4 linked regions of the Lytechinus pictus genome follow. The protein of the gene in region 4 purifies or fractionates together with the protein of the main gene of each other region. This does not show direct contact. Links are inferred from orthologs where the notes say so. Each region holds a gene or a part of one and is shown on either strand. Other genes may lie near its edges. The genes, in order: peroxiredoxin-1-like; superoxide dismutase [Cu-Zn]-like; Parkinson disease protein 7 homolog; peroxiredoxin-5, mitochondrial-like.

The links.
Region 1: the proteins of peroxiredoxin-5, mitochondrial-like (region 4) and peroxiredoxin-1-like fractionate together in Homo sapiens (co-fractionation; 3 studies listed by BioGRID). This does not show direct contact. The link is inferred for Lytechinus pictus from reciprocal best matches to the Homo sapiens genes PRDX5 and PRDX1.
Region 2: the proteins of peroxiredoxin-5, mitochondrial-like (region 4) and superoxide dismutase [Cu-Zn]-like fractionate together in Homo sapiens (co-fractionation; 3 studies listed by BioGRID and IntAct, with this or other methods). This does not show direct contact. The link is inferred for Lytechinus pictus from reciprocal best matches to the Homo sapiens genes PRDX5 and SOD1.
Region 3: the proteins of peroxiredoxin-5, mitochondrial-like (region 4) and Parkinson disease protein 7 homolog fractionate together in Homo sapiens (co-fractionation; 3 studies listed by BioGRID). This does not show direct contact. The link is inferred for Lytechinus pictus from reciprocal best matches to the Homo sapiens genes PRDX5 and PARK7.

The regions. Positions count from the first base shown.
Region 1 is NC_087255.1:28,701,261-28,708,345, forward strand, and holds the start of peroxiredoxin-1-like, read right to left. Parts: upstream 3,013-7,085; 5' UTR 2,802-3,012; intron 445-2,801; 5' UTR 419-444; coding exon 310-418; intron 1-309. UniProt on the Homo sapiens protein: Thiol-specific peroxidase that catalyzes the reduction of hydrogen peroxide and organic hydroperoxides to water and alcohols, respectively.
Region 2 is NC_087248.1:24,272,923-24,279,994, reverse strand, and holds the start of superoxide dismutase [Cu-Zn]-like, read right to left. Parts: upstream 3,027-7,072; 5' UTR 2,584-3,026; coding exon 2,509-2,583; intron 1-2,508. UniProt on the Homo sapiens protein: Destroys radicals which are normally produced within the cells and which are toxic to biological systems.
Region 3 is NC_087258.1:19,054,192-19,061,779, forward strand, and holds the start of Parkinson disease protein 7 homolog, read left to right. Parts: upstream 1-4,577; 5' UTR 4,578-4,835; coding exon 4,836-4,916; intron 4,917-7,588. UniProt on the Homo sapiens protein: Multifunctional protein with controversial molecular function which plays an important role in cell protection against oxidative stress and cell death acting as oxidative stress sensor and redox-sensitive chaperone and protease.
Region 4 is NC_087251.1:47,420,260-47,428,242, forward strand, and holds the start of peroxiredoxin-5, mitochondrial-like, read left to right. Parts: upstream 1-4,968; 5' UTR 4,969-5,149; coding exon 5,150-5,230; intron 5,231-6,299; coding exon 6,300-6,434; intron 6,435-7,833; coding exon 7,834-7,965; intron 7,966-7,983. UniProt on the Homo sapiens protein: Thiol-specific peroxidase that catalyzes the reduction of hydrogen peroxide and organic hydroperoxides to water and alcohols, respectively.

The sequences.
Region 1 (7,085 bases), on a different chromosome or scaffold from region 4:
ATGGCTCCATCTTGGTTCTGGTTTTCCCACATTGGGGAGATGGCAGAGTTTTGAGGGCTGTCTTTTTTTAATTTTAGGTAAGGTAACAACTAGAATTGGTTGTAGTTACCTCTGTAATAATCTGACAATTTGATGTCATTTAATTCACCATCAGAGCTGCCCTGCTTTTTTGTGCAAAATGAAAAGGGCACAACTCGATTAACTTTGGCAAATCGAATACCCAAATAACATTGCAGTAACTTCAAAACATGAATTGATATTGCGCAAAAAAAGGCTCTGACTCAAGAACTGGAATTAGTTGTTAATTACCTTTGTAATCTGATAATTTGATTTGGACAAAGTCACTATCCGGGCCTGCGCTGACTGCTGTACCCTCAAAGTAAGGAGCTGGTTCTTGTACACGTGCCTTACCTGCCATCTTTGATTTATATTACAGCTTCTTTCCTGTGAATGAGATTGAAAAAAAAGATTGAGATAGTCACTGTGTAAAGCCAATGAAACACAACAAAGTCAAGACATCGGGGTAAAATTTCGTTTAAGGGGCTATTTTTGTCATTTTGGGGATATTGCTAATTTTTTTTTTTTTGGGGGGGGGAATTTTTTCATTTGAAGGGCTATTTATTTATTTGCAACAAGAAATAATAATCTGCCAATATTATCATCCTCCCATACATGTATGTAAATTGTAGAATATTGACTTTCTAAATATTCTTGAATATTGCTTGATATGATTGTGGCAGATTTTTGGCGATGTCGTGAGATGCTGTGGACAAAAACTAAAGCAGGGAAAACTACCCTGCCACCTTGCCCACTTTGAAAATCTAAGTCTATCATTTATAAAGCTGCGACAAAGTACACCAAGTTTTTTTTTTTTAAGGTGAAATTCAGTAAGAATAATGGACAATTTGTACATGATGGCCAGTGTTTCCACAGATCCAAAATAAATTTCCCAAAATTCATAGACATTTCCTGGAATTTTTAAGTATGATTTCTAAAAAAAATTGGGCAATAATACAGCCAGCCTAAAGTTGGTCCATGTGACCCAAATCAAGGAATATAGCACATTTTTGTTCACGCCCTCTTTAAAAATAGGACCAAAATTACAATGGATGCTCCGCACGAAAACTTTTGAGCTAAGTATTGAGGTAAACAATTCTTTAAATATAACATGAATTTTAAAAGTTGCTACATTTAATTGTTGTTTAATTGTAATTTTCAGATTTCCCAGAATTTCCTGGAATTTTTTCATTTTCCAAACCTTTCCTGGAAAAAGTAAAAATTTCCCAAAATTTCGGGAAGAGTGGAAACACTGATGGCTATGGTATCGGGCCTATGGCTATGTATTTGGCATTTGGGAAGGGGCAAGATCTGAAAATGCATTACTCAACAGCAATGGCAATGGACAAGCACAAACAGTACATGTGATCCCCCCCCCCCCCCCAACTCTCCAAAAAAAAAAAATAATAAGCAAAATAAAAAACTACTTGTAAAAAAAACAACAAAAAAAGAGTTTTCTTTCCACAGACCACAGGTTTGGACCACGCGTCACAGATGCCAATTGCCTTTGTCTGCTTGTCTTAACGGTCTAGCGAGTTAAGTGAGAGTCTGGGGTACTGGTCTGTGGTGGTATTCAGAGATCAATTTTATCTCAGATAAAATAAAATATTTCATCTCCTTTAAAATCACTGAGATAAAATACATGTACCCTTAGAATATCTCTGAATTGGTCTGACAACCATTTCATCTTTATTTTACGTCTGTAAGACACACGGTCTATTTTTGAAGCAACATCCAATGAGATTGAAAAATACTGTTTTATACATCATACATGTAGCTCTCTCAGCTCATTCAACCAATAAAAATCCATTCCGCTAGGTGTGGCAAAGGAGCAAAATTGCATCAATGTATTGTATTTATTGAATTAAAAATGCACTTGCACTATACGCTTGCACATTTTTAGAGATTTCTTTTTTACAAATTTTTAGAAATTACAATATTCAGTGTTTTTTTCTTTGTCAATATCACGTCATTACAGCATCATTTCAGAAAAGTCACATGAAGAAATATTTACTTATTCTTCAGGAATAATGTTAAGGTATTATTCTCAGACTCAATGATAATGTTATTTTTCTTCATTATCATTTCATTTTAACATTTGGAGCTAATTCACCAAGAGCATCGCGGAGATAATAACCTCCACGGGTTACTTTATCTTTCTTTCAAGTTTCAGTTTCAATGTAACAACATGGGCCTGGGCCAAAGCATATCATCCGCATTGTAATGGTAAGATACACAATTCCTACACAGACACTGCTCTAATTAAAAAGGTCGCATATCAGATATGCAAGGAAAAAAATCATAAAATTCAAATTTGAGAAAAATGTCACTAAAATTACCAATTCACTGAATCATCAATCAATTTCTTTTTAAAATATAAAATATTTTTTAGAAGATAATATGATCTCAGAATACTACCCCTGGAAAAAAATCACATTCACAATGATTAAAATGCATAGGAACCCCATGAAATCTCCTATGCATCACACAAAAGAACATGAATTGGAACCAACAAAGAAAAATAATGCCCGATTGCACTTGAAACACGACAACCCGGCATTCACCCACGTGCAACACACATCTTATGCAAGCAAAAATTGAAATGACAGTCAACTTTTCGTTCACCCTCTCACAAATTTCGCGTTTTTTAATCAAAAGCCCAAGTCACCATCCATTCCTCATTTTTTTCTTCTAGAAGATTGAATTTTACCAACCGTTTAAACATAAGAAAGTAGAATACTCACGGTTTCAAAAGAAGAAATTTAAGACTGTTTCTACTCTCTTCGGCTCTGCCGCAGTGCTCGAATGAAGTCGAAGTGAATACTCGTGCTAAATATATACGCGGCGGGCAGCTAGCTGGCCTGGGCGAACGGCGCGTTGGGTGATATGGAAAGCTACGCGGGCGCTGGAGCGGGATGCCGAGCGCTTGGCCCAGCAATGCATGCACATTATTATGCCAGAGCGAGCACGTCCACAAAATTGCAGTATACCAGTAGATGGCGCTAGACTTCTCTCATTCATTGTTCAATAAAAGTTGATTGATTGACAAAATACAATAATGACAAATGAATATCAAGAAAGAAACCTTGAACAGAATTTAAGTTATTTCTATTAAACAATTATTTCAAAAAATAAATATACGAAAGTTTATTCAATGGGTTCGATTGATTGATTGATTCATTGTTGATGTTTTTTGTAGAAGTACATAGAGCGCATTTGGAAAGCAGATTTTTCTTATAATAAACATACGACTATAGTATGAAATGAATGAAAATTAATTAATATAAATAGACTGATGTATTTTATTTGTGAAGCCACAAATAACAATAGCGAAAGATTAGAAACCTCAAATACGTTTTAACGAATCCCTTAAAAATTATTTTCAATTCGGTTGATTGACTGCTTGATAAAGACGAAGCATAATTATAGAAGATGAAGATAATGAAAAAGAAGAAGAATTAGTAGCAGAAACACATAGAGAAGAAGAAGAAGAAGAAGAAAAAGGAAAAGGAAAAAGAGCAGGAGAAGAGAAGAAGAATGAGACGAAGAAATAAAATTGAATGAATAAATATCGGAAAAAAAATAGTTAAATAAAATGAATGAATAAATAAATACATAAATAAATGAATAAATAAATAAATAAATAAATAAATGAATAAATAAATAAATAATTGATTAATTAATTAATAACTCAAGAAGTACATTTAAAAAATAGGGAAGCGCTTAATAAATTAAAAAATATTTCACCAAATATTTAAAATTTCAGCAATAAAAATGCAAAAAATCCCTTTTGGTGAGCACGGTTGCTTTGCTCATTTGTTTTTTTTTAATGGCTTGACACAATATTTATTAAATGTCAGTCATCTGCATGGGAGACCACCTTTCCAGGGTTTATAGACCTACCCCTGGCTATAATGTCCCCTTGATCGTTTAGCCCGAGTGTTCACAACTTTCTCTTACCTGCTTGTCTGACTTCTCCTTTTCTCTACCGGTCATTTTCAAAGAAAATGAAAGTTGTTTCAAAGTAATTCATGATGATCACAGTGACTTGGTAGCAAGCAGGGCAGGATAACTTGATGGGCTTCATGTAGGGTCAATCCCCCGGACTCCCCGGACGGTATACTCGGATTTGTTTCGGACGCGAACGGTGCTGTATACTGAAGCCGTAAAACCAAACATAATTATGATTTAGGGCTTTTGGTTTAGTGATAGATTGATAGACAGGTTGATTGAGTGTTCGTTATTGATTGATAGATTGATTGATTGACTGACTGTTTGTTCTTTGAAAGTGGATGATAGACTGATTTATATTTGACAAACCTCAAGACATACTGAAAAATAAAAAGAATGACTGGCGTAAATCCAGTCCGAGCTGTGCATGGGGGGGGGGTGAAGCAATATATTGATCTGAAAATTCAAAAATTTTGGGACACCCCAACACCAAGGGCTATGTAGGCATGTATACGGGGGTATGGGACCATGAACATAATACTACCATCGACAGATCAAGAACGATTTTTTTTTAATGGCATATGTAATGATTTACAATTAATATCAATATGCGTGCCATCGAGTAGGCCTAATAGTTGGAGACAAAATATGATGTCCAAAAACATCTTTCAAGTGGTGTGAAATTATCACATCACGGAAAATGTATAAATTATGAAGAGCTCACTTGCAAAAGGGGTTAGGTCAATTTTTCATCAAATCTGATTTTTTGGTCTCAATGTATAGATTTTTAGTAGCTCTATAAGATGATACCAAAGAAAAGTTGAAATTCCTATTTGAAAGTGATCAAAAATGGCAAAGAAAAATCACTTTTTTTTCAAAAGGGGTTAGGTCCATTTTAGTTTAGTTGCAAAAGGGGTTAGGTCAACACCGATTTTTTTTTTGGAAAAGAATATATTAAAAAATATGAATAAAGGTAGATTTCTTTTATACCCAATTTTATGTTGTCATGGTAGGGAATCTTTAAAATTTAGTTTCGCATAAGAATATGCAATATAGGAGAATTAAAAAAAAATATTTTCTTGGAGTGGACCTAGCCCCTTTTGCAAACAAACTCTTCTGAAGAGCTCATTTGTCAAAAGGGGGTAGGTCCATTGTTCATAAATGCTATTGTTTTCTGTCTCAAACCTCTAAATTTTTAGTCGCTTTGATGAAAACAAAGACAATTTGAAATTTACATGAAAACATGAATAAAAGTGGCAAAGAAAAATCACCTTTTTAATCAAAATAGATTGGATTCATTTCAGTTTACTTGCAAAAGGGGTTAGGTCCACAATGATAATTTTTAAAAGAATATATAGAAAAAATTGAAGACAGGTAGATTTCTTTTATACCCAATTTTATGTTCACATGATAGTGAGGGTAGTATCATGACAATTTAGTTTCTCAAAAGAATATTGATTGATTGATTGATTGATTCTTTATTTCCATGCAAAAATAAATCATACAACAGAAAATATATTGACAATATCTCATGGTAAAATAACAATAAACAATCATTGCATGGGAGGGAACAGTCATAAGCACAAGGCTTGAAAAGGACGCCCCTCAAGAAAGACTACGGCCCTGAATAAAATCAATATAAGTCATATTTAAAAATTACAGTAAAAGCAGGGCCAAAAGGAAAACACATCAAGCATGTCAAGAATAAATCAAATGATAATAACACACCAGCCGTGTATCGATTAATATTACTATGTTTAACATAGATACGTCGTATAAAATAATACAAAAAATAAAGTATGCAATAAGATGAAAGTCATGAAACTGATGATAGAACAATATCTTAACTCAAATAAGTGCTAATAATGGAATGCTTAAACTCAAACTTAAATTTGTTCAATGTAGGAGCACCACGTATTGTTAAAGCTATATCATTCCAGGTATCTGGACCAGTATGTCTTATTGACCTATGGGCTAAGGCAGTTAGCGGATTTTATAAATGTAAATTTGTTGAGGTTCTCGTAGGATATTTATGAATAAACGAATTCAAAAGGAACATATGATCAAATGTTAATGGTAATTGGCGACAGTGAAACTTAAACATAAACAAAGCAATTTGAAATTTATGTATATCATCAATTTTAAAGTCTTGAAACGGTTAAAGAGGGGACCAGTATTTTCATAAAAACCAGCGTCGGCACACAAACGAATAGCTTTCTTTTGAAGTAAAAGGATATGGTGATTTTTTTATTTGAATGAGCCCCATACAATATTGCAATAAGTGATATGTGGAAGTAAAATAGAATTATAAATTGAGAGTAATGCTTGAGGAGGTAAATAGTGTTTAACTTTAAACATTATACCTATACATCTTGATACAGACGTCAATATTTTAGATACATGGTCATCACATGTTAAAAACTCATCTAGAATGACACCTAAAAATCTCACATTATTTTTTTGTCCGATAGAAATCCCACTTATCTTTATTTCTTCTGTATAATGATTAGCTATTGTTTTGGAGTTCTTGAAATCAATATAATATGTTTTTTTGCAAATTTAAAGACAATTTATTACTTTGGAACCATGTGGATATTTTGGGCAATTCATTATTCAACATTTCAAAAAGCATTCTTTTATTCGAGTTTGAAGAAATAACTGTTGTGTCATCAGCATACAGAATATATTGTAATAAGGGTGAAGAATATACTATGTCATTTATATACAGAAGAAATAAAAGCGGGCCCAGAATTGAGCCTTGAGGCACACCACAATTAATATACTGTGAATTAGAACTTACTGAATTTATACATGTAAATTGTTGCCTATTTGAAATATAACTATTAAACCAATTAAGAGTAGTACTTCTAACACCAAAATATTTTAATTTGTAAAGCAATATAGTATGATCCAGGGTATCGAACGCTTTACTTAAGTCCATGAAAACACAAATTACATGTTCCTTTTTTGCTAAAAGAGAAGAAATTTTATCATAAAGATCAACAAGAGCTAGATCAGCAGAATGAAATTTGCGAAAACCATATTGGGATGGATTTAATAAATTATGTAATGACAAA
Region 2 (7,072 bases), on a different chromosome or scaffold from region 4:
GAAACAATTGGAATCGGCAGGTACCGGTACTACTGATGGTCCCCTCCCCCTCCTTTTTAATAGATAAAAAGATAAAGGAAGTACACACATAACTACTGGTACAGTACTGGTGGGGGATAAAAAAGGTAGTATACATGCCTGGTACCTGCATATTTTTCCCCCCAACATCAAAGTCTGCCTTTACCTATTAAAGTTGGTAAAATTCCCCCAAATGTATCCACATGTATTACTATTCGAAGTCATTACTACTACATGGATATGTGTATGCCCTAAAACTACATGTATTACGAAGTGGAGGATAATATGAAATGACAATGTGTTTTCCAAGCTAAATTTTGCTCATTTACATGTACACTGTATACAAATTTATCATGATCGGGTGCCTGATCAAATGCTTTTTTTCCTTTTTTTTTTGGTTAATACAAAATATATTCCAAATCCAAAGCATGGAATTGGCTGAAATTTTCAGAACATTATCTTTTTTATGTGGCTTTCTGATATCGAAGTACTAAGGTTTAAGACGAGTGTTTCCAAGTACCCTTTTTGAAGAGGAACACAAAAATCCCTAATATCTAATAAAATGAAGGTATCTAAGATTTGAATAATTGAAATTTTCAGAGAATCGGCGTTTGAAAAAGGATTCAGTGGCTATATATACTGTACATGTACACTTCGGTGAGACTGGCATATTTACTGAAGTATAATTCACATAACTGAACAATTAACAAGGCTTTATATTATCCTTTGAAACCAAGGTACAAGTTGAATAGAGATAATCACTGTAGTGAATCTAAGATAATCATTCAATTGTTTATTTATCTGTTGGATTTGTTCAAACTCAATTTTTCCCTTTTTAGATTCTACTACAACTGACTTTAATGGTGCCTGTGCATAAACAGGTTAAGGTTTAGTCAAATTCAGTCAAAGCTGATTTTCCTTAAATTTTTTCTTTTAGAATCATAATGGCTTGGATGCATAAAAACTAGCAATTGCTTTTGCTTGGTTTTTACTTGTGTATGCATAAAAAATGAGCAATTGCTTGCAAGCAAAAGGTTTTTACTAGTAAGCTCAAGCAATTGCTCACTGCCTGCTGGCATTTGCTTGACGCTTGCATTTCCTTTAAAGCATTAATTAATGACCCTTGGGAAATGTTGTTTCAAATATGTATCACATGCCTTTGCGTTCTGATACCCAGATCCAGCACAAGTCATTGATTGCATGGTGCATTGCAGATACTGTAGCCCGATAGATGCTAGATCTACTTTAATAAGTCCAACCCAGAAAACTGTTGATTTGAATAAATAGAGAAAATTCAAACAAGTACACCAATGAAAATTTCATCAAAATTTGATGTAAAATAAGACCTACATGGACGACATATTAAAGTTTTGCTTACTTTTCACAAAAGTTATTATATGCGCAACTCAGTGACATGTAAATAAGAGAGTAAATGATGTCCCTCACTCACTATTTCTTTTGATTTTTATTGTTTGAATTACACAATATTTCATATAGAGTCTATAACTTTAGGTTATATCATAACCTTGTTCATTGACATTGAATGAGTGGGTCTACATGCAGTCTACCTACCACTTTTGTGTTCGAGTGCCCCCCGGAATAGTTCAGTGAAAATGGGCTTGAAATGAAATGCTGAAAACTGAAGACTTTGAAAGTCAGCTGCAGCTAGGGTTAATGTGACACACATCACACCCAATCAATCAAAATACAATTTGTTCGTTTAGTTTACTCCAACGATGTTGTACTTGTAGGACTAAGCCTGTTCATCGATCAAAGTAGAAAGTCTATTGCGGCTCTCCTTCAGACAAAATTAGGTGTGCTACTTATGTTGGCAGGGAGGGGTGGCAGGGGTATCGTAGACAGCAAAACAATTCCATGAGAACACACGAGAATCGAAAATCACTCAAAATCATAGGCAATCTTCTCCCAATGCCTATCGGTATCCAGTCTATTCTTAAATGCAATCACTGAACAAGCAGAACCGGTACCTACATCTTCTGGGAGACTGTTCCACACATCTATCACTCGGTTAGCAAAGAAAAAATTTACGCACGTCAAGACGTGAATATCTTTTCTCTAGCTTTAAGGAATGACCACGTGTTTTACCACCATTTCTCAGACAGAAAAGCTCAGAACTTGCATCAACTATCATAGTAAATCATGAATGCCCCCCCCCCCTCCCCCAACCAGGTGATGCCTGGCCTTCTTCATGCCTCATAAAGTCATATCATAATCATACTCATCATAGTCACAGTCATAAGTCATCATGGGAGTCGACATTCAACATTATTTGCACAGTTTGGATTATTTATTTTTCATTTAACGTGAGGCCTATCTATCACAAGTTGAGTGGCTGCCATGGGCATGGCCATGGAATGCATGCATGATTACAAAATGCCAGTCATTTTCATGCCAGTCATTGACTCAGTCATCATCAAGACATCAGTTTTCTTTTCCTCAAAAATTAAGAGACTACAGACCGATAGATACCTCTTTAGCCTCAAAGTTGATGACCCCCTTTACTTCTCCAGGTCCGGCAAGAGTGCAAACTGCAAGTACAGACATGATTCTTCTTTTAATTTACGGTTTAAAACGAAGAACTTGGCGAGATTGTCCAGCAGGCTCAGTCAGTTTTTGTCTGGTCTTTGCACACGGTACTAGATGCACTTGACTAGTTGTTTACGGCCGTACAAACACGTGTACCGGGGCCGAGCTGGGTAGGAATCTCAGGAGCTACGCTAGGCCGGCCAGCACTGGCCTAGCTCCGGGCTTTACCTCGTTGTGCTTTATTTTTGCGTGGCGTGTGCAAAACATTTATAGTAACCTCTAGCTGTTGAAGCGGGTTTGAAAAATTCTTCTTTTTTAAATATGGACTGCGATCCTGGTATCAAAAGAACACGTATTGTGAAAAGTACAGTGAATGTGCCTATAGAATTTATTGGCGAAAATTGGGCATACACCAACGAGCCTGCTGCTGACTATTGCGACGTATACGCAGCAGCGCGGCTACCGAATTAGAGGGGGGGGGGGGGGGGGTGAGGGTAACATTGAGACTTCACATTTATTTTTGTTTTCATTTTCTAATTCTTTAATTGGATTCAATTATTAGAATACTGGCGTAAAAACGGGGGGGGGGGGGGAGGTGGGCCCCAAAATTCCAACAGCGACCACGGGGGGGGGGGGGGGGAGTGGGAAGTCAATATCAAGTCGAGTAGGCCTAGTAATTGGGATCGATTAGGGCCCCAAAATTTCCAGGACAAGCCAAAAAAGGGGGAGGGGGAGATGATGAGGGAAAAGAAATGAGATTCGTAAATTAAAGAGTTTATGTTGGGTTTGCTTGGTAATTGCTTGCTTTATTAGGAGTTGGGAAAGGGATCGTCCGGGCTGAAAATGAGTAGAATTCACTGAGCAAAATGCCGAAAATTTCATCAAAATCGGATAAAGGGGAGGCGCGATAGCTCAGTCGGTAGAGCGGGGTTTCGGTCCGGTGACCAGGGTTCGATTCCCAAGTGGTGCGCTAGTGCCCTTTGGTAAGGCATTTATCCTCATTACCAGGTCCCTCGGAGAGGACCTTAAGCCGTTGGTCCCCTGGTTGCTTGCTCAAAGGCATTCATGCTTTCTTAGCAGTCAGGTAAAACAACCTCGGTATAACAAATGATAAAGTTATTGAAGTTTAAAGTTTAGCAATATTTTGTGAAAACAGTCGTCATGAATGTGGGGGACTGATGATGTCACATCTCCCCTTTCCGTTTTCTATGTTATCACATACAATCATAATTTTTTCATTATTTCATACTTGTGTGAATAATATGTCTCCCTTATAATGAAATAAGATGCAGCAATAAATATCTTATGCACTAAATCAGTTGTAAATCCAATTTTTCTAGTTCTTCGAGGTAAAAATTTGAATAAACCTAATTTCATATAATAAATACAAAAGAACAAGTGGGGATGTGACATCATCAGCCCACATAATAATATAGGGTATTTAAATTGCGCACATATCCACCTTGTTAGGTGCTCAAGGCGCTCCTATATTACCCGGCTAAGCTAGGCGTTCATAGCGCACACAGCTTTTTAAGGAATTACTTCCTACCGGTACCCTAATGAATATTCATGACGACTGTTTTCACAAAATATTGCTAAAATTTAAAATTCAATAACTTTATTTGTTATCCGAAATTGATGAAATTTTCGGCATTTAGCTCAGTGAATTCTACTCTATTTATTAAAGGGGAATCCAGCCTTGGCCATAAAATGTTGTGTTGGGAAGGAGAAAAATAAATTAAACAGAATGGAGAAAGTCTAAAAGAAATCGGACAAGCAATAAGAATGTTATAGCTGCTTTAAAATTGAGATCACTAGTACTATGTAGATTTCAAATTGGCAACTGGGTAAGTAAATTATGACAAGGGGCAAGGACAACTTTCCCATAGGCCATGTACTTTATTATCAAGGATTTGTGGTTTTCTCCTAAGTACCCATTCCCCTGTGGCAGTAATCTAAATATAACCCAGGTAGTATATTGTTTTATGTCCTCATGAAAGAAAAATATAATTTGAAATAAAACTTTTGGGAAAAATGACATTTTAGCCATAATATGTATTGGAGTACATGGAAGAGTAGTCCTTGCCTTACATCACTATGACATCCCATATGCGGCCAATTTGAAGTCTCCGTGGGTATAGTGATTACCAATATTTACAACTTTTAAAAATTCATAACTTTCTTGTTGTTTGTCCAATATTGTTCAAACTTTCACCTATCAACTTGTCTGATATTTCTTTTCCTTATAAAAACAAGTTTTTATTTGGGTTGGATTCCCCTTTAAGCTATAAATACTTTCAGCCCGGACCATCCCTTTAATTGAGAAATTTACCAGAATGACATGCACGTAGGCATAATTTGCTGCCCATTTGGCTATGGTCAGTAAAGTAATCTGTGTAAGTACCTCCAATGAGCTCTCGGCGAGCTCGGCCCGAGAATGATTCCTGCAACTTCAGAGTCCGGGGGTAGATGTATATGCTTAAGTATTTTGCAATTGAAGGTATAGGCTTCTATATAGAGCCCGATATAGAGGGATTTCAGAATCAAGTTTTGCATATCTCATTAGCAGAATAACGTTGCGTGCTCGATCAAAGACATGTAGGCCTACCATATAGAAAATTGGGTGAGTATAGGCCCCGGCCAGGCTTATATATGACAGCTATATAGTGCATTTTATGATATAATGCACGGGACAAAAAAAAAAAAAATATATATTTTTTTTAAAATCGAGGCGTGGCCTAAAAATGAAGAGTCATCCTCCGTTCGGAAATGCAGTCCCATTTTCATTACATTGGTGTTATATTGATGAGGACACCAATCTGCTTCAAATGAGATGTGTAAAACTTGGCTTTGAAAAGTATATAATGCAACATTTCTATACCCCATGTTAGCAACAAGAAGATGCCTCTTTTTTTCCCTACAATTTTCTTGAGATCTCTAGCCCCCCCAACCTTTCTCCCTCAGAACAGGCGCTCTTCCAGTACCCCCCCCCATCTTAATCCCCTCACTCATTCACCTTAATTGCCTCTCCCCTATATCTCTCAGGCTGCCCTGTCGCTATATCCACCCCCCCTCTGTCTCATCCTCTCTCTCCCTCACCCCCCCCCCTCTGTCTCATCCTCTCTCTCCCTCACCCCCCCCCTCTGTCTCATCCTCTCTCTCCCTCACCCCCCCCCCCTCTGTCTCATCCTCTCTCTCCCTCACCCCCCCCCCCCTCTGTATCATCCTCTCTCTCCCTCCCTCCCTCACCTTTTCCCTTCCCCTCCTCCAATATTCCCCCTCTTCTCCCCTTTCTTTCAGTCGCTCTCCCTTCCCCCTTCCTCTACTGCACAATTGTATTTTAGTTCTACATATACGTTCATTTATTCCCACCGTTACTTTCCACTGTATACCATCCCAATCTTGTGTGTGGCGTACATCTGGGTCCAATTTCACAAGTTACAACTCCAAAGAACTTTGTCATTTTGGCAACTACCATGGTAACAGGGCTCAGCAGCCAATCACAACCATGGTAGTTTCCATGATAATGGCAAAGTTACCATCATAGTCGCAACTCTTAATGAAATTGGTCCAATATTTCCTTTATGTAACAATGTTACGAAAATTCCATGCCTTTCATCTTGCACCAACAGCCAGAAAATTATTCATATATTATGAAATTTTTCTCATGCAGGGTTACTGTATTTGATTTATCTAAATTTAATCTTGCTTCCTAAGGGTATTTATAGGCACTCATTTGGTTGAAGTATGGATAGCCAATTTTTACATAAATCACTAACATTAGAGATATCATATTTCAGTTCATTTGGCTCTCAAATCATTCATAATTGTCTAGAAAGTATACATAGATGATTGTACAGTGAACATAAGAAACATACAACTTAATAAGAATTTTGACACGTTTGGCTTCCCATAATTTTAGCAGAGTTAGACCATGGTCTAAATTAAACCTGACTTCAGAATACGGGCCATAGACTAAGAGGTTTTGAACCAAATCAATATTTGGGTAGGACCTAACTAGAAATTAGGCAAACTAGTAAATGGGTTAAATGGCAATATGACCAAATGTTAAAGGTCAAGTCCACCCCAGGAAAATGCTTTCTTGCATAGAGAAAATCAAACTAGCATAGTGCTGAAAATTTCATCAAAATCGGATGTAAAATAAGAAAGTTATGACATTTTAAAGTTTCACTATTTCTCACAAAACAGTGATAAGCATAAGTAGGTCACTCAGTCGATGATGTCCATCACTCACTATTTGTTTTGTTTTTTGTTTGAATTATACAATATTTCATTTTTTAGATATTTGACAATAAGGACCAACTTGACTGAACCACATGCTAATTCCACATGTTCAGGGAGGAATTAATTGTTTTATCACTTGACAATGAGAAAATTTGAATATTTCATATTTCACATAATAAAATACAAAAGAAATAGTGAGTGGATGACCTCATAGTCTCCTCATTTGCATACCAGCCAGGATGTGCATATAACTGTTCTGTGA
Region 3 (7,588 bases), on a different chromosome or scaffold from region 4:
TACAGCCATTATCAAGATGGCACATCAACCCAAACGTCAGTTAACCAGTCATACCGGAACTCGATCCAGAGGCATTATATAAAATTATCAGCCATAAGTTATAATCGTTCGTAGTTACTGAGATGACATATGATTTTTACACTTTTATCTTGTCAACTCTTGTCTTTATTCCTAAGAAATGTAGAATTAATCCAAATACTTTGAAAATGAAGGAACTGTTTAATTTAAAATGTAAAGATGTTTAAACAGTGGCGTACCGTGGGTCACGGCATTGGGGGGGCACCAGCAAAAATTATGAGTCACTTATAGAACGCGCGAAGCGCGCTCAGTTGCTAGGTATACTGACATAATAGGGACATTTAAAGGACAGTGTCATTAAACGGATATGTATCTCACTGATCACATAATGCGAGCGCGAAGCGCGAGCTGAAATTTTTGTATATATCGACCCCAAACGGACATTTTAAGGACTATATTTTAGGAATGCATTAAGAGTATACATATCTCACCATAATCATCTAATGCGAGTACAAAGCGCTTGCTGATATTGTTAGAATAATATACATCTAAACACATGAAGCACTTGTAGTCATTGTAATCATGATTAACATACGCATCTCACTAATCAAATATTGCGAGCGCGAAGCGCGAGCTGAAAATTTAGGAAAGTCAGACCTGAAGAGGGATATTTCAAGGCTTGTTTGTAGGAATTCACGTAGATCATACGTAGTTCACTAACCAAATGATGCGAGCGCGAAGCGCGAGCTGAAATTTTTGTATATATTGACCCAAAAGAGGGATAAGGACTATTTATTTTTTTAAAGGATTCCATTAAGAGTACAGATATCTCACCATAGTCATCTGATGCGAGTGCCAAGCGAATGCTGATTTTGTTAGAATTACATCTAAACACATGAATCACTTTTTGTAGTCATTGTTATCATGATTATCATACGCATCGCAGAAATCAAATATTGCGAGCGCGAAGCGCGAGCTGAAAATTTAGGAAATTCAGACCTGAAGAGGGGCATTCTAAGGCCTGCTTTTAGGAACTCACGAAGACCATGCGTATTTCACTAACCAAATGATGCGAGCGCGAAGCGCAAGCTGAAATTTTTTACATTCAGATCAGAAAAAGGGACATTTTAAGGACTGATTTTAGAAAATTCATGAAGAACAGACATATCTCACCAATCCACGAATGCGAACGTAAGTACGGACAGGAAATGGTTTATATTAAGACCTTAAAATCGGGCAATCACTTTAAGTAGTCATGAAAAAAAAGTATATGTCACTACATAAAACAATAATAATTCGAAGTCTAAGAAAATATATTTGGTGTATATTGACTTGAAAACGGGAGGTTTTAGTACAAGAAGATTATATATATTGTTAAACAGACAATGCGAGCACCAGGAACAATGAAGACTAGGCCCTGTGCAAATTATGTTTCATAAAGTTATAATTTATTTATGTAATATAACATAAGATAATCATAATATAATATAACATTATAATTAACAATAATTTCTTCTTTCCCATTACGTTTCTTTCCCTTTCTCCCTCTTTTTCTCCTTTTCCCCGTTTTTTTTTTTTTTTTTTTTTTTGGCCAGCCGATTGGGGGGGCACGTGCCCCCCATGCCCCCCCGTAGTTACGCCACTGTGTTTAAACTTGCTAGGTTAAAGTGATGTCATAAAAGTTTAGTAGGTAAATTTACAAGTGTAAAGTGTAAGATATGTTCTTACCTCATTATTTCATATTTATTTTTATTCTAATTGTTCTTATATTCTTGTACTTAGACGGTACCTCATTTCATGTGTTGGCTTTAAACTGCCAATTTGTGATTGTTGTAAGTTATATTTCTCCGATATAGCTCGGAAGGGATTGAAAGAAATAAAATTAATTCATTTCATATCATATTATCACAAATTTTAATAGGCTTATCATGTGTCAGTCTTGTTAACGGGTTCCATTCAATTCGTAAGTAAGGAAGGGTATACAAGCCATTAGCACCTTAGAGGTTATTTTTTTATACCGCATGTATTTATGAAATAAATACCTTATATCACAGCTCATTAGATGAATTCCTCATCACACCTTATATGGTATGGGTTCCTTATACCAAACACTGACAGGTGAATTCCTTGTAATGCATCTTATATGATGGATTACTTATAACAAACCCTGTAAGATGAATTCCCTATATCACATCTTATAAGATGAATTCCTATACCACAACTTATAAGATTGGTTACTTGTACCAAACCCTATGAAATTAACTCTTCATACCACACCTTATAAAATGGGTTCCTTATACCAAACACAGATGAATTCCTTATACACTCCTTATAAGATGGGTTCCTTGTACCAAACCCTGTAAGATGAGTTCCTTATACTGCACCTTATATTTTCCTCATATCACATCGTATAAGATATGTTCCTGTACATTACACTTTATGCATTGGATCCATTCAATCAAAGTATACTTTATATGCATATTTTTATTTGTATTAATTATGGAAACAAAAAGAGAAGACTGTGGAATAATAATGCAAGGACAGCATGGATATATACACTCACATTCAAATTCAAATTCAGTTTTATTTCCAACAGAACAACGTTTGATACAAATTATGATTTGATGTTGGATAAATTGTATGATACTGTTTTTCATGATATCTTGATTTGTTATAATGTTATAATTTGTTAATTGGATGTGTATTTAATTTTGTATTGTGAAACATTTTTCAATTCAGCTGTCAAACAGCTGCGCTCATGTTTTAATAAATCTTGAATTGAATCAAATTGAATTTACGTGTCAATATATTTATACTTTAGTGAGATACTGAAACTGATTTCTTTGCTATATGATTAAATCTTCTCAAATCTCTATCATTATGTTCGTATCTTATCTCAATCCGGATCTTGTTGTTAAAAATCAAGTCTACCCCCAAAAAATATCGATTTTAATCATTAAAGAAAAATCAGACTAGCATAACGCTGAAAACTTTTATCAAAATTGGGGTGTAAAATAGAAAAGTTGTGACATTTAAAAGTTTCGCTTATTTTCACAAAACAGTGATATACCCAATTATGGGACATGGAAATAAGACAGTCCATAATGTCCCTCACTCACTATTTCTTTTGCTTTTTATTGTTTGAATTAAGGACCAACTTGACTGAACCATATAGTATTAAACAATGCCAATTCCACATGTTCAGGGAAGAATGAATTGTAGTGGCTTGGCAATGAGGAGAAAATTTGAATATTTCATATAATAAATACAAAAGAAACAGTGAGCGGATGACGTTATCAGTCATCCCATTTGCATACCGACCAGGATCTGTGCATATGACTGTTTTGTGAAATTAAGAGAAACTTTAAAATGTCATAACTTTCTTATTTTAAAGGGGGAGTGAACTGTGTTGGTCTCTCATTGACAGTGTGTTATAAATGCATAGTCTTAAAATATACGTTTTCAAATATCTACAGAGAGTAAATTGATCTATAATTGTATTTGTAGTAGAGAGACTAAAATGTTATGAGAGGAAAAGTAATTGGTTTGCTACTTGGTAACACTCATTGCGGTATAAATGTATATTGAGTAGTTAATTAGCATGTTATCATTCAAGTGGGTCTATATTACTAGACTACACTAGCATTATGGGTCAGGAAACTGGCCAGGTATGAGTAGTTGAGGACTCGAGATTGCGCTATTGGTTCGTATCTGCTTTAAATCCTATTTTGATGAAATTTTAAATGTTATGCTTGTTGAATTTTTCTCTTTCTATTTTTGTTGGGGTGCACTAGTGTATCATTAATATATCACGTTTCTAAAAACAGATTTTAAAAAAGGGTGGTGGTCACAATATAAAGCGATCATGGAAACCGATACAATTTTTTACTGAGATTAGTAAGACAAATACCAAGTGGCATAAAACCAAGAATAAATAGATACATATTACAGAAAAGTGAGGTTTGGGATATGAAGAGGGCCGTTGCAAGATTGATTTCTTGATTTAAAATGAAAGTCAGTCTGGATGTGTTATGTAATTTAATCATTCATACACGTCTGTTAAAAAATTCTCAAAATTATGCACATATTGATAGAAAAGAGGTATTCTTATACAGATTTTGCAATGAAAATAAATGGGTTCAACATAACTAGTAAAAATTGATATCAAGCATTATTGTAAACAAACGATAAACAATCTTCACAACCTAGCTTATGCTGGAGAGTTGATATATATGATATAATCTCAATCCGATTTCCATATGAAATGTACGAAATCATTGATGTATTATAAAAGTTAAAGGAAAATTCTGTATATGGAACTTTGATGAAATTGAAATTTGATGCTGGAAGAAAGGACACATCTCACCGAGAGATATACATTAAACAAAACATAATAATAGCAGGGCCCGCTGGTAGAACAGTTTTCGAAACTGAAGTGGCTTCCCTGGGTAAATATACCTATATTATTATTATTATTATTATATTACGATATTCGTTCCGCTGTCAATATTTCTCACTTGTCCCCTTGTTTTCTCCATCCTCAGCACCCGGCGTTCCATAGAACTATCATAATATCTCGAAAAGATTTTGCATTCATATTGATTAAGAAGAAAAAAAACAGCAAAAAAAGTAATCTTTAGATATTTTGATTCTTCATAAGTTTGCACTAATTGCCTGGATAGTTCAATGAACATATACGGTAAATAAAACCAGATGGCACGTGGCGTTCCATATCACTTTCACACATTTTCTCGAAATCACTTCAAAGTTCACTCCGAAAATCGATCCGAAATCGATATCGTAACTTGGCTTTCATAATGTCTGTGATGCTGATTTTGGCTCCCGGAGCGGAGGAGATGGAAACTGTCATTCCAGTTGATGTTCTGAGACGTGCTGAGGTAAAGAGATGGTTGAAATGCCGTCAACATGAGAATAATATTTTTCACCCATCTGGCCGGGGGTAGCTGAGGAGCTACTGCGGGCCTCTGCCCAGCCCCAGAAGCTCCGCCGGCGAAGGTGGGGGAACTCAAGGGTGTGGATCCGATGAATACTTGCGAGGGAAATAAGTTATTATTATTGATTTGAGTCAGTAATGGAGAATAATATGACTGTTTTTGCCACTGCTTTAATTTGGAGCCTTCTTTGACTTTGAGAGGATGAAAAGCTTCTTTACTTTCATCTAAGCTTGTAACCGATTTTGCAATCGGCAACCGATTCCATTCGATTTCACCACAATCGGCAATCACTTGCCGATCTTCGATCATGCCCCTTGAAGGAAAAAATCGAAAATAAAAAATCGGCGTAGATCTGGTTACAGTGCGTGATTGTTTTTGAGGTGCTAGCTATTTAGAGGTCGCATTATTCAGGGAGAAAGACGCGGTATTATCTATGGCGATGTTTAAGATGATAGATATCTTCTCTTCCGCTTCTCTTCCAACTCATGGTGATAGCGGATGCCGCCGTGAACTTTGAAAGGTCGTATTACCGATGGAGCTCACTGCGTTACTCTCTTACATCGTTTATGATTATATACATTTTATTTTCAACCTCGTGGTGATAGCGGATGCCGCCGTGAACTTCGAAAGGTCGTATTACCGACGGAGCTCACTGCGCTACTCTCTTACCCCCTTTATAATGATATAAATCTTCTCTTCAACCTCGTGGTGATAGCGGACCCCGCCATAAACTTTTAAAGACTGTACTATTGACGGAGCTTATTGCGTTACTCTCTTACATCATTTATGATGATATACATTTTATTTTCAACCTCGTGGTGATAGCGGACCCCGCCGTGAACTTTTAAAGATCGTGCTACTGACGGAGCTCATTGCGTTACTCTCTTACATCGTTTATAATGATATAAATCTTCTCTTCAACCTCGTGGTGATAGCGGACCCCGCCATAAACTTTTAAAGACTGTACTATTGACGGAGCTTATTGCGTTGCTCTCTTACATCGTTTATGATGATATTAATTTTATTTTCAACCTCGTGGTGATAGCGGAAGCCGCCGTGAACTTTGAAAGGTCGTATTACCGACGGAGCTCACTGCGCTACTCTCTAACCCCGTTTATAATGATATAAATCTTCTCTTCAACCTCGTGGTGATAGCGGACCCCGCCATAAACTTTTAAAGACTGTACTATTGACGGAGCTTATTGCGTTACTCTCTTACATCGTTTATGATGATATACATTTTATTTTCAACCTCGTGGTGATAGCGGATGCCGCCGTGAACTTTGAAAGGTCGTACTATTGACGGAGCTCATTGCGTTACTCTCTTACATCGTTTATGATGATTTACATTTTATTTTCAACCTCGTGGTGATAGCGGACCCCGCCGTGAACTTTTAAAGATCGTGCTACTGACGGAGCTTATTGCGTTACTCTCTTACATCGTTTATGATGATATACATTTTATTTTCAACCTCGTGGTGATAGCGGATGCCGCCGTGAACTTTGAAAGGTCGTATTACCGACGGAGCTCACTGCGTTACTCTCTTACATCGTTTATGATGATATACATTTTATTTTCAACCTCGTGGTGATAGCGGACCCCGCCGTGAACTTTTAAAGATCGTGCTACTGACGGAGCTTATTGCGTTACTCTCTTACATCGTTTATGATGATATACATTTTATTTTCAACCTCGTGGTGATAGCGGACCCCGCCGTGAACTTTTAAAGATCGTGCTACTGACGGAGCTTATTGCGTTACTCTCTTACATCGTTTATGATGATATACATTTTATTTTCAACCTCGTGGTGATAGCGGATGCCGCCGTGAACTTTGAAAGGTCGTATTACCGACGGAGCTCACTGCGTTACTCTCTTACATCGTTTATGATGATATACATTTTATTTTCAACCTCGTGGTGATAGCGGACCCCGCCGTGAACTTTTAAAGATCGTGCTACTGACGGAGCTTATTGCGTTACTCTCTTACATCGTTTATGATGATATACATTTTATTTTCAACCTCGTGGTGATAGCGGATGCCGCCGTGAACTTTGAAAGGTCGTATTACCGACGGAGCTCACTGCGTTACTCTCTTACATCGTTTATGATGATATACATTTTATTTTCAACCTCGTGGTGATAGCGGATGCCGCCGTGAACTTTGAAAGGTCGTACTATTGACGGAGCTCATTGCGTTACTCTCTTACATCGTTTATGATGATTTACATTTTATTTTCAACCTCGTGGTGATTGCGGACCCCGCCGTGAACTTTTAAAGATCGTGCTACTGACGGAGCTTATTGCGTTACTCTCTTACATCGTTTATGATGATATACATTTTATTTTCAACCTCGTGGTGATAGCGGATGCCGCCGTGAACTTTGAAAGGTCGTATTACCGACGGAGCTCACTGCGTTACTCTCTTACATCGTTTATGATGATATACATTTTATTTTCAACCTCGTGGTGATAGCGGATGCCGCCGTGAACTTTGAAAGGTCGTATTACCGACGGAGCTCACTGCGCTACTCTCTTACCCCCTTTATAATGATATAAATCTTATCTTCAACCTCGTGGTGATAGCGGACCCCGCCGTGAACTTCAAATTGATTT
Region 4 (7,983 bases):
CAAAAAAGTGGGGATAATCAGCTCTAAAAAGTATAGGTCTTTCCTTGATCTTATACTAGTGTTTAAACAGGCCCTTACTTTCATACACACTTTGAATTTCAAGGATTAAATTAAATCCAGGTCGGCTGTGAAGCAGCCCGGCGAAAATTTGATTCATTTAATATTTATGATTAACTTTTAAATCTAAAAAGATTTTTTTTAATCTAAAAAGATTTAAATTAAAATCTTTAATCGTTAAATTCAAATCAACGAATGTTTGGCTGGTCACTATCCGCAACCGATCTGGCCGGGTTGATTTTCAATCAGCCCAGACTTTGCATAATAAATTTTGAAATCAAATAAATTTTGAAATAAGGCAAAACAGCGCTAGATAACGATCATAACTAATTTATGCAAATTACCACATTGATTAAACTCTTATTTTATCTTAAATACTGGCAATTATATAGCCTTTATTATACAAGCCTATATAAGATCCAAACTTATGAGTGATGACCTTATTTTCAGTTTTTCTTCTTCTTCGTTTTCTTTTTTTTCTTCTTTGTCAAATTTTTCGGTAATGAACTGTACAGTTCGGATGTCCATCATTTTGGACTGATCAATGACCCTTATTATGGTTAGAGAATAAAGTGGGTCTTAAATTTTGCCCGTGATGATATAACAACATGTCATACCCCAGATAATTATAGATGGATACACAGTGGCTTAAATCCGGTCCTAGCAAAGGGGGGGGGGGGGGGAGATTGCAATAAAAGTATAGAACTAACAATTCAAAATTTGGGACACATTCACGGTTGCACCCCCAAATAAAGGGCTATATACGGGGGTATACAAATCATCTATCACTATTTTTTTTTACTTATTTATTTTTTTAAGGCTATTGTTTATCGTCAACTACAGAATTCCAGTAATGTCAGGCTGACTCATGAAAAAGGTGTGTATGTCACTGAAATAATGAAAGCTCTGGCAATATCTGGTCCGGTATATCTGGTTGACTTGCAAAGTGAATATTTTAAGAGCGATTTAATCCTTATGCTGGATAGGGATTATGTATCGCATTAACTCAATACGTGCGCCGGGAAGAGGCAAATTATGTTTTATCGAATTCTAAAAAAAAAAATTAAAAGTATTTTTTTCCACTTTGATTCTCCCTCTTTCTTTTTCTTCCCCTTTTTTATTATAAGGGTGGGGGGGGGGGCAACAGCCGCCTGAGTGGCCGGCACGTCCCCCCCAAAAAAAAAAAAGTTACCTCCCTGCTTTTCATAATTAATTTGGTATAGCCATTGGCAATGCTGAAAAATTGACCCATTATGCGTTTCAAAGTTTGGGTTAACTGATGATCTGATGAAAAAAAGGATGATCGTCAAGAGAGTGCGACTCACTATAAACAAGAAACGGGAGACATATCACAACATGGGCTTATTAGAATAATAAATAAGATAAGATATTAATTTGATAATCAATTTTTTTTGTCCCTTTTTCAGAATGGAATATCGACAAGTTTCATCTCGCGCCTAGGAAGAGAAATTTGTAGATAGTTATCATTATCATTTGATGATATAATGTTCTTAGGATGTCCCGGTCCTATGTAAGAACTCAAAGTAATAATAATGAAACATGCAGTGAATCAGCTCCTTTTTTAACTGTGATCCATATCCACCTCACAATTTTCCTACAAAGTGCTTGAAATACAGAGCTTAAATCGGGCCCTTTTCAGATCGGAATATCAAATATTTTAAGAAGCGCGAGCTTCGCGCTCGCTTTTGTGATTTGCATGATAAAAAAGATATTTATCATGCCCAGATTCTATAGGTGACAATGACAATGACAATTTTTTCTCATGTCACCCTTAAAAGGGCATTGAAGAAAGTCAGATAACAACAAAGAAATAATTTCTCAGTATCAAATACAACATATTTACATTATTTACAATATTTACATTCGAGTATACCATGCAGTCAATATATAGGCCCACAGGCAACAATTTAAGAAAAGAGATTACGTGTTTAGTGTAAAAACAAACGTATAAAAAAAGATAAAATGTGAGTAAACATAAAAAGATGAAGTAACCATTATCATGGACCTGATATTTGGAATACATTGCCAGATTCACTTAAGCTGACAAGATCATTTTATTCCTTTAAACGAACTATAAAAGAAATGCAATTAAACCAATACCTAACAAATTAAAGAAAGAAAATCATTACCATTGTTATCATTATTTCAATTAGACATTGACTTTTATCTAGAACATGTATAAATTAAAATCAAACAACAAACGTGTTATTTTCTAAAATTCCATGCTAAGGACCAAGCATCTCCCTCCCCCCCCCCCCCCCAGTCCCTCATGCACCTGCACGTTTAATGACAATATATATTAATTATTTGGCTATATTCCAGGGTTGTTACGTTTTCAAGCTTTGCTTTTTTGACGACCCTTGCAACCATTCTATTTATTGTGGAACAGAAAATACCACTTATTGATTTTCATTTATGTAAGATATGTTTGAGGATTTATGTACAAAACTATTGTTCATTATCTTGATGTCAAGTTTCAGATATGTATTTTCTTGTCCAGAATTTTGTTATGAAAAATGTTGCAAAAACCAATAAATGAAATGAAATGAAATTATGAAATATTTACAAGATCATGCATTATTCATTTTATGACTAAAACTTAGTGAAGCTTTAATATTACTGATGCGAATTTTGCTAAATTGGTGATCTGTTTCATGTTTCCTGAATTAAATAATTAATTCATTTTTAGTGTATTGGGACGTATTCTAAAAATACGGCTTGATATATTTGTGCCTCAAGTTATTCAATTTCGGACATTCAAACAAATAATGAAATTCATCTCCAAGTTTATTAAGAGTGCACAGATTGCTGTTCGATTTTGCCATTCTATTCCCGAATATCTACCCGTAACAATTGGCAAACGGTGATTTGCACATCTGAATTTTGTGAGTGCTATCCTGTAGGGAGAGGGAATTAAGTAAGCTTCAAGGCCAACCTGATTTTTGAAAATTCTATAGTTAATACATTGTGAGCTAACGTTCACAACGCTTTGCCAATTTTGCACATACGTATCTCTAAGTTTCAATTTTAATGTGGATTTCAACCAAGCATTACTAAACGATTTATTATTTGTCCAAATATTTGACATTCCAAGTTCATTTAAAGTAGACTGAAAGAATTTTACCCAAGAAGAGGAATATATGCCAAGATCATGAAGTATTTTCAAAATTTTACCAGAAATAGTTGAATATTTAACTTTTTCTCACTTATATAGTTCTCGACCAAAAATTAACCATTCTTTCTTTAGCAATAATCGATATTTCAAATCTGCCCAGTTCACCGAGAGCCATACAGTTCAGTGAACCTTTTCTTAGTCTTAAAATTTGTTTGGAATATTGCATATGCATAATTTCAATATGCTTCAAATTTTCGAAGCCCCAGATTTCACACCCGTATTAAAATAGGTACAACTGATTTGTAAAAAAAGATCTAATTGAATATCTAAAGGCAATCTTAATTTTCTTTATTTCATAATTAAACTGTACATGGCCCTTTTAGCTTGAGTAATTTGGGTTTTTTTGAGCTTTTTTAAAACTATTAACTCCTGAAGACACATTTCTAGTACAGTAAGTGTATTGATTTCCTTGCTATACAGAATTTTGTTTGTAATTTAAAAGTTTAAAGTGTTCATAAAATGAAGCAATGTCAACCGAAGAAGTATCTTTACTATTAACTTATTATCAAAGGACAAGTCCACCCCAATAAAAAGTTGATTTGAATAAAAAGAGAAAAAAAAAACAAGCATTACACTGAAAATTTCAGCGAAATCGGATGTAAAATAAGAAAGTTATGACATTTCGAAGTTTCGCTTCATTTAATTCACAAAACAGTTCTATGCACAATATCCTGGTTGGTATGCAGATGAGAAGTCTGATGACGTCATCCACTCACTATTTCTTTTGTATTTTATTGTATGAAATATGAAATAATCTAATTTTCTCCTCATTGTCAAGTGAAACAACGATTAATTCCTCCCTGAACGCGTGGAATTATAGCATTGCTATACGATATGGTTCAGTCAAGTTGGTCCTCGATCACTGTCAAATCTGTGAAAAAAGAAATATTGTATAATTCAAACAATAAAGAACAAAATAAATAGTGAGAGAGGGACATCATCGTCTGGCTCATTTGCATGTCACTGAGTTGTGCATATGACTGTTTTGTGAAAAATAAGCGAAACTTTAAAATGTACATATATAACTTTCTTATTTTACATCCGATTTTGATGAAATTTTCAGCGTTATGCTTGTTTGATTTTTCTCTATTCATTCAAATCAACGTTTTTCAGGGGTGGACTTGTCCTTTAATAATAAGTTAATAGCAAAGATACTTCTCTGGTTGATATTGCTTCATTTTATGAACACTTAAACTCTTAGGATCCCAAAGATTGCTCAGAATGTTAAATTTTAGGACAAAATACAGTCATGAAATAAAAATAAGCTCGTGCTTCGCTCTCGCACTATATATAAATAAGGCTTATGAGATTATTATATATTTATGTTTATTTATAAGAAAAAAGCTTAGACATGACTATTAGGACCACCCCTTCAAAGAAACATACAAAAATCAACCCTTGGATTTGCGTTCAGTTCATCATCAAAGTGGGAAAGTGCTAGTGGGCGGTGCCCTGAAAATAGGGAATTCCCCGAGATTACATAACAGCTGATACGCGCCCACTAAATAATTTGATGAACCCTTTAATACAGCAATTCATAATCACTTAATTAAAAACAGAACATTTTCAATTGTTTGAATATTGAAGAAAAGATGTAAATATCATCAAAATTATGAATTCAATCAAGCAGCACATGTCAATATGAAAATGTGGGTGCAAAATGGTCCGGGGAAATGGTATTATTCCCCTGAAGTCTGTAGCCTGCCTGGGCCTGAGAATTATGGAGGCATCCATATAGGCGAGGAGGTTCACATGGCAAGCCCTTGCCTGCACGTACGCCGTTATCCGGAGCTCAGCTCGACATTCGGCCGCGCCGCGAAGAGCGGGGCTGGCCGCTAGGCTATCGAACTGTATGCATGCCGCGCAGGGCATAACGGCATAAGGTATTGCGCGAGAATGTTTAGCCTCCGAAGAGCCGTCCTTTTCAATTGCTTACGGAGTTTTTCATCTGGTTCACCAAGAAAGATGCCAATCAAGGTAAATACTAACTAGATTATTAAAGAAAGGTGTGCTACACCATACGAACAGATATCAGAACATATTCGTACTCATTTATCATATTATTATCATGATTTTAGTCGGGATTATTTTAGTCACCCGTCATGCCCGTCGGCCGTCGACGGCGAAGCTCAATTCCAAGTCAAGACCCTACTCCCTAGAATTTAGACTCGAGTGTTAGACCTGGGGAGCGTTTCTGCCGTTTCATCAACATTTTTGTCCGACAAATTGTCAGATCTGACATCTTTTTTTGAATCTGATTTGCTTCTTCTTCATCGTCTTCTTCATCCTACACTGACTGCCTCCTTCAATCCTGAAGATTCTTGCAGTATTGTAGTACCGGGGGCCGGCAGGTGCAATACACCGGGTGAACACCCTACTCTTTGACTTAGAAGGACTGTTATTATGGTAACTGTCGGAGGGTTCGATTCCCACTTCCCAAGTGGTGCGCTAGTGCCCCTTGCCCTTGGTAAGGCATTTATCCTCATTACCAGGTCCCTCGGAGAGGACTTTAAGCCGTTGGTCCCCTGGTTGCTTGCTCATAGGCCTCCGTGCTTTCCTAGCAGTCAGGTAAAAAACCTCGGTATAAACCGTCCGACAACGGCGACAAGTCCTTTCATGAAATGCTCCCCTGGCCAAAAGGCAATAATCAATTGAACATTGGGTGCTCTTGGTGGGGTAAACTGTCCATAATTTTCCCTTGATAAAGAAAAGAAATATCTGAAAATGTCCATGCTTTGTTGCTTACAACGTAGTTCAGTGTAAAATTTCAATGTGGGAAGATTATTAAGAATAAGACCGAGTCTGAGAGTGAGAGATAAAGCCGAGTCAAGTTGACGATTACCGTACTATTTCAATTTAGATCTCCATGTAAATTGTCTTGGTTTGTCTTAATTTCACATGTTTTTTGGTTAGACCTATATATCTCTCTTGTGTTTCTCTTCCTTATTCTTTATTTATACTGTGCAAGTTATCCGGAAACATATCATGAACATACTATTAACTGTTATATGTTGCTTGAATAATATTTATTCATCATTTTTATTAGGTTGGTGATGCTGTGCCTAGTGTAGAAGTGTGTGAGAACACACCAGGTGATAAAGTGAATGTAGAAGAACTTTTCAAGGGAAAGACTGGAGTGTTGTTTGCCGTTCCGGGAGCGTTCACTCCAGGATGTTCAAAGGTGAGAAAAAGGGTTGCTGAACCAATGTCCGTTGGGGTCCTATTACATGAAGCTTAGTGATTGTATGGCTTGTCTGTGCAAGTCTGTGCAGTCCCCCTTGTCTGCGCACATGCGTATCTGCACGATTCTAGTAAAAGAAGATCACAACGAACACAAAATTTACACATGCACCACATAGACGATATTCATTAAAAAATCCGACTCAAAATGTTGGAAAAATAATGAATTTGGGGCATTTCGTGTGACGGCCTCAAAATGCTGCCTTTCTCATCAAAACGCCTGAATCGTGGGCAAAGTGAATGGGTGCGCAGACATGGGGTACCATTTTTTTTTCAATCTGAAAATGACTGCCCAAGGTTTTTTCTAAGAAAATCCTATATTTCTTTCAAATTTTAATGAGATATTTGTTACACTTACTCATGGTAATATAGGGAACATTATTAACGGAAAGAATTTGTGAAATAAAAAGAAGTTCATGTTAAATCGTTAGGTGCACAGACTTGGGGACCACCATTATAGGTAGGCCTAAGGCTGATATCAATGCAATCTCTCATAGAAATCGGTCAGTTTTAGGTTAGGGTTTAGAAATTTGCCAATTTCTATAACTCTACTCACTGACTCTAGATACTCGCTAATGATATACAAAGAATGGTTTTCTCTCAAAGAAAGTAATGTGGAATTTGTAAATTACCATGAAATTTGAACTGGGGGGGGGGTGAGTCTTGGATAATGCTCAGTATCTTTGTAGAACCATTTCACAAGCATAAAAATGGGCGGAGGGGAGGAGACGTAGCATAATAATAGCAGCATAATATCTTTCTGTGAATTATAAGAGTTTACTCTGTACTAGAAGTATATATCCTGGCTTTACACTCGCTATTGTGAGAGAAGAGTTCACATTGAAAAGAAATTACATGTGTATTTACGTTGAATAAATAAAAGAAAAAAGCCATATTTAAAGAAGATATGAGTTTTCAATTCTGTGGTTAATTTCAAATCATACAGTTTATGCCTTTGGCTATCACATTCACAGTTCACTTCTTATAAAAATAATCCTTTGATGAGTGGATGTATGAAACTAATAAAATTGTACCATGATTTTTCAAAAGATTAAGATATACTGGTAGGGTGGTGGTTTTTTTTTCATCTCAACGCACTGCCACAAATTGTTGAAACTGTATATGCCTGCCTGTGTCTTTTAATGCTTCCTAGTGCCATTATTATAAAATCAATATTGCATCAGTGACACTATGGTACCCTTTAAATATATGAAAAATACTAGTATATAAATAATAGTAAATAAATAGGTGTTTTTATGAAAACTGAACACTATGATACTGCATCAGCTATGGGACTAATTCTGAGCAATGTCATATTCTACTTGTAATTTTTTTCACAGACTCATCTGCCAGGCTACGTTGGTGACTTTGATAAACTCAAAGCTAAAGGTGCAGAAGTCATCGCCTGTGTGTCCGTCAATGACCCCTTTGTAATGGCTGCATGGGGGGAAGCACATAAAGCTGAAGGCAAGGTAATTCTATCAAGTGTT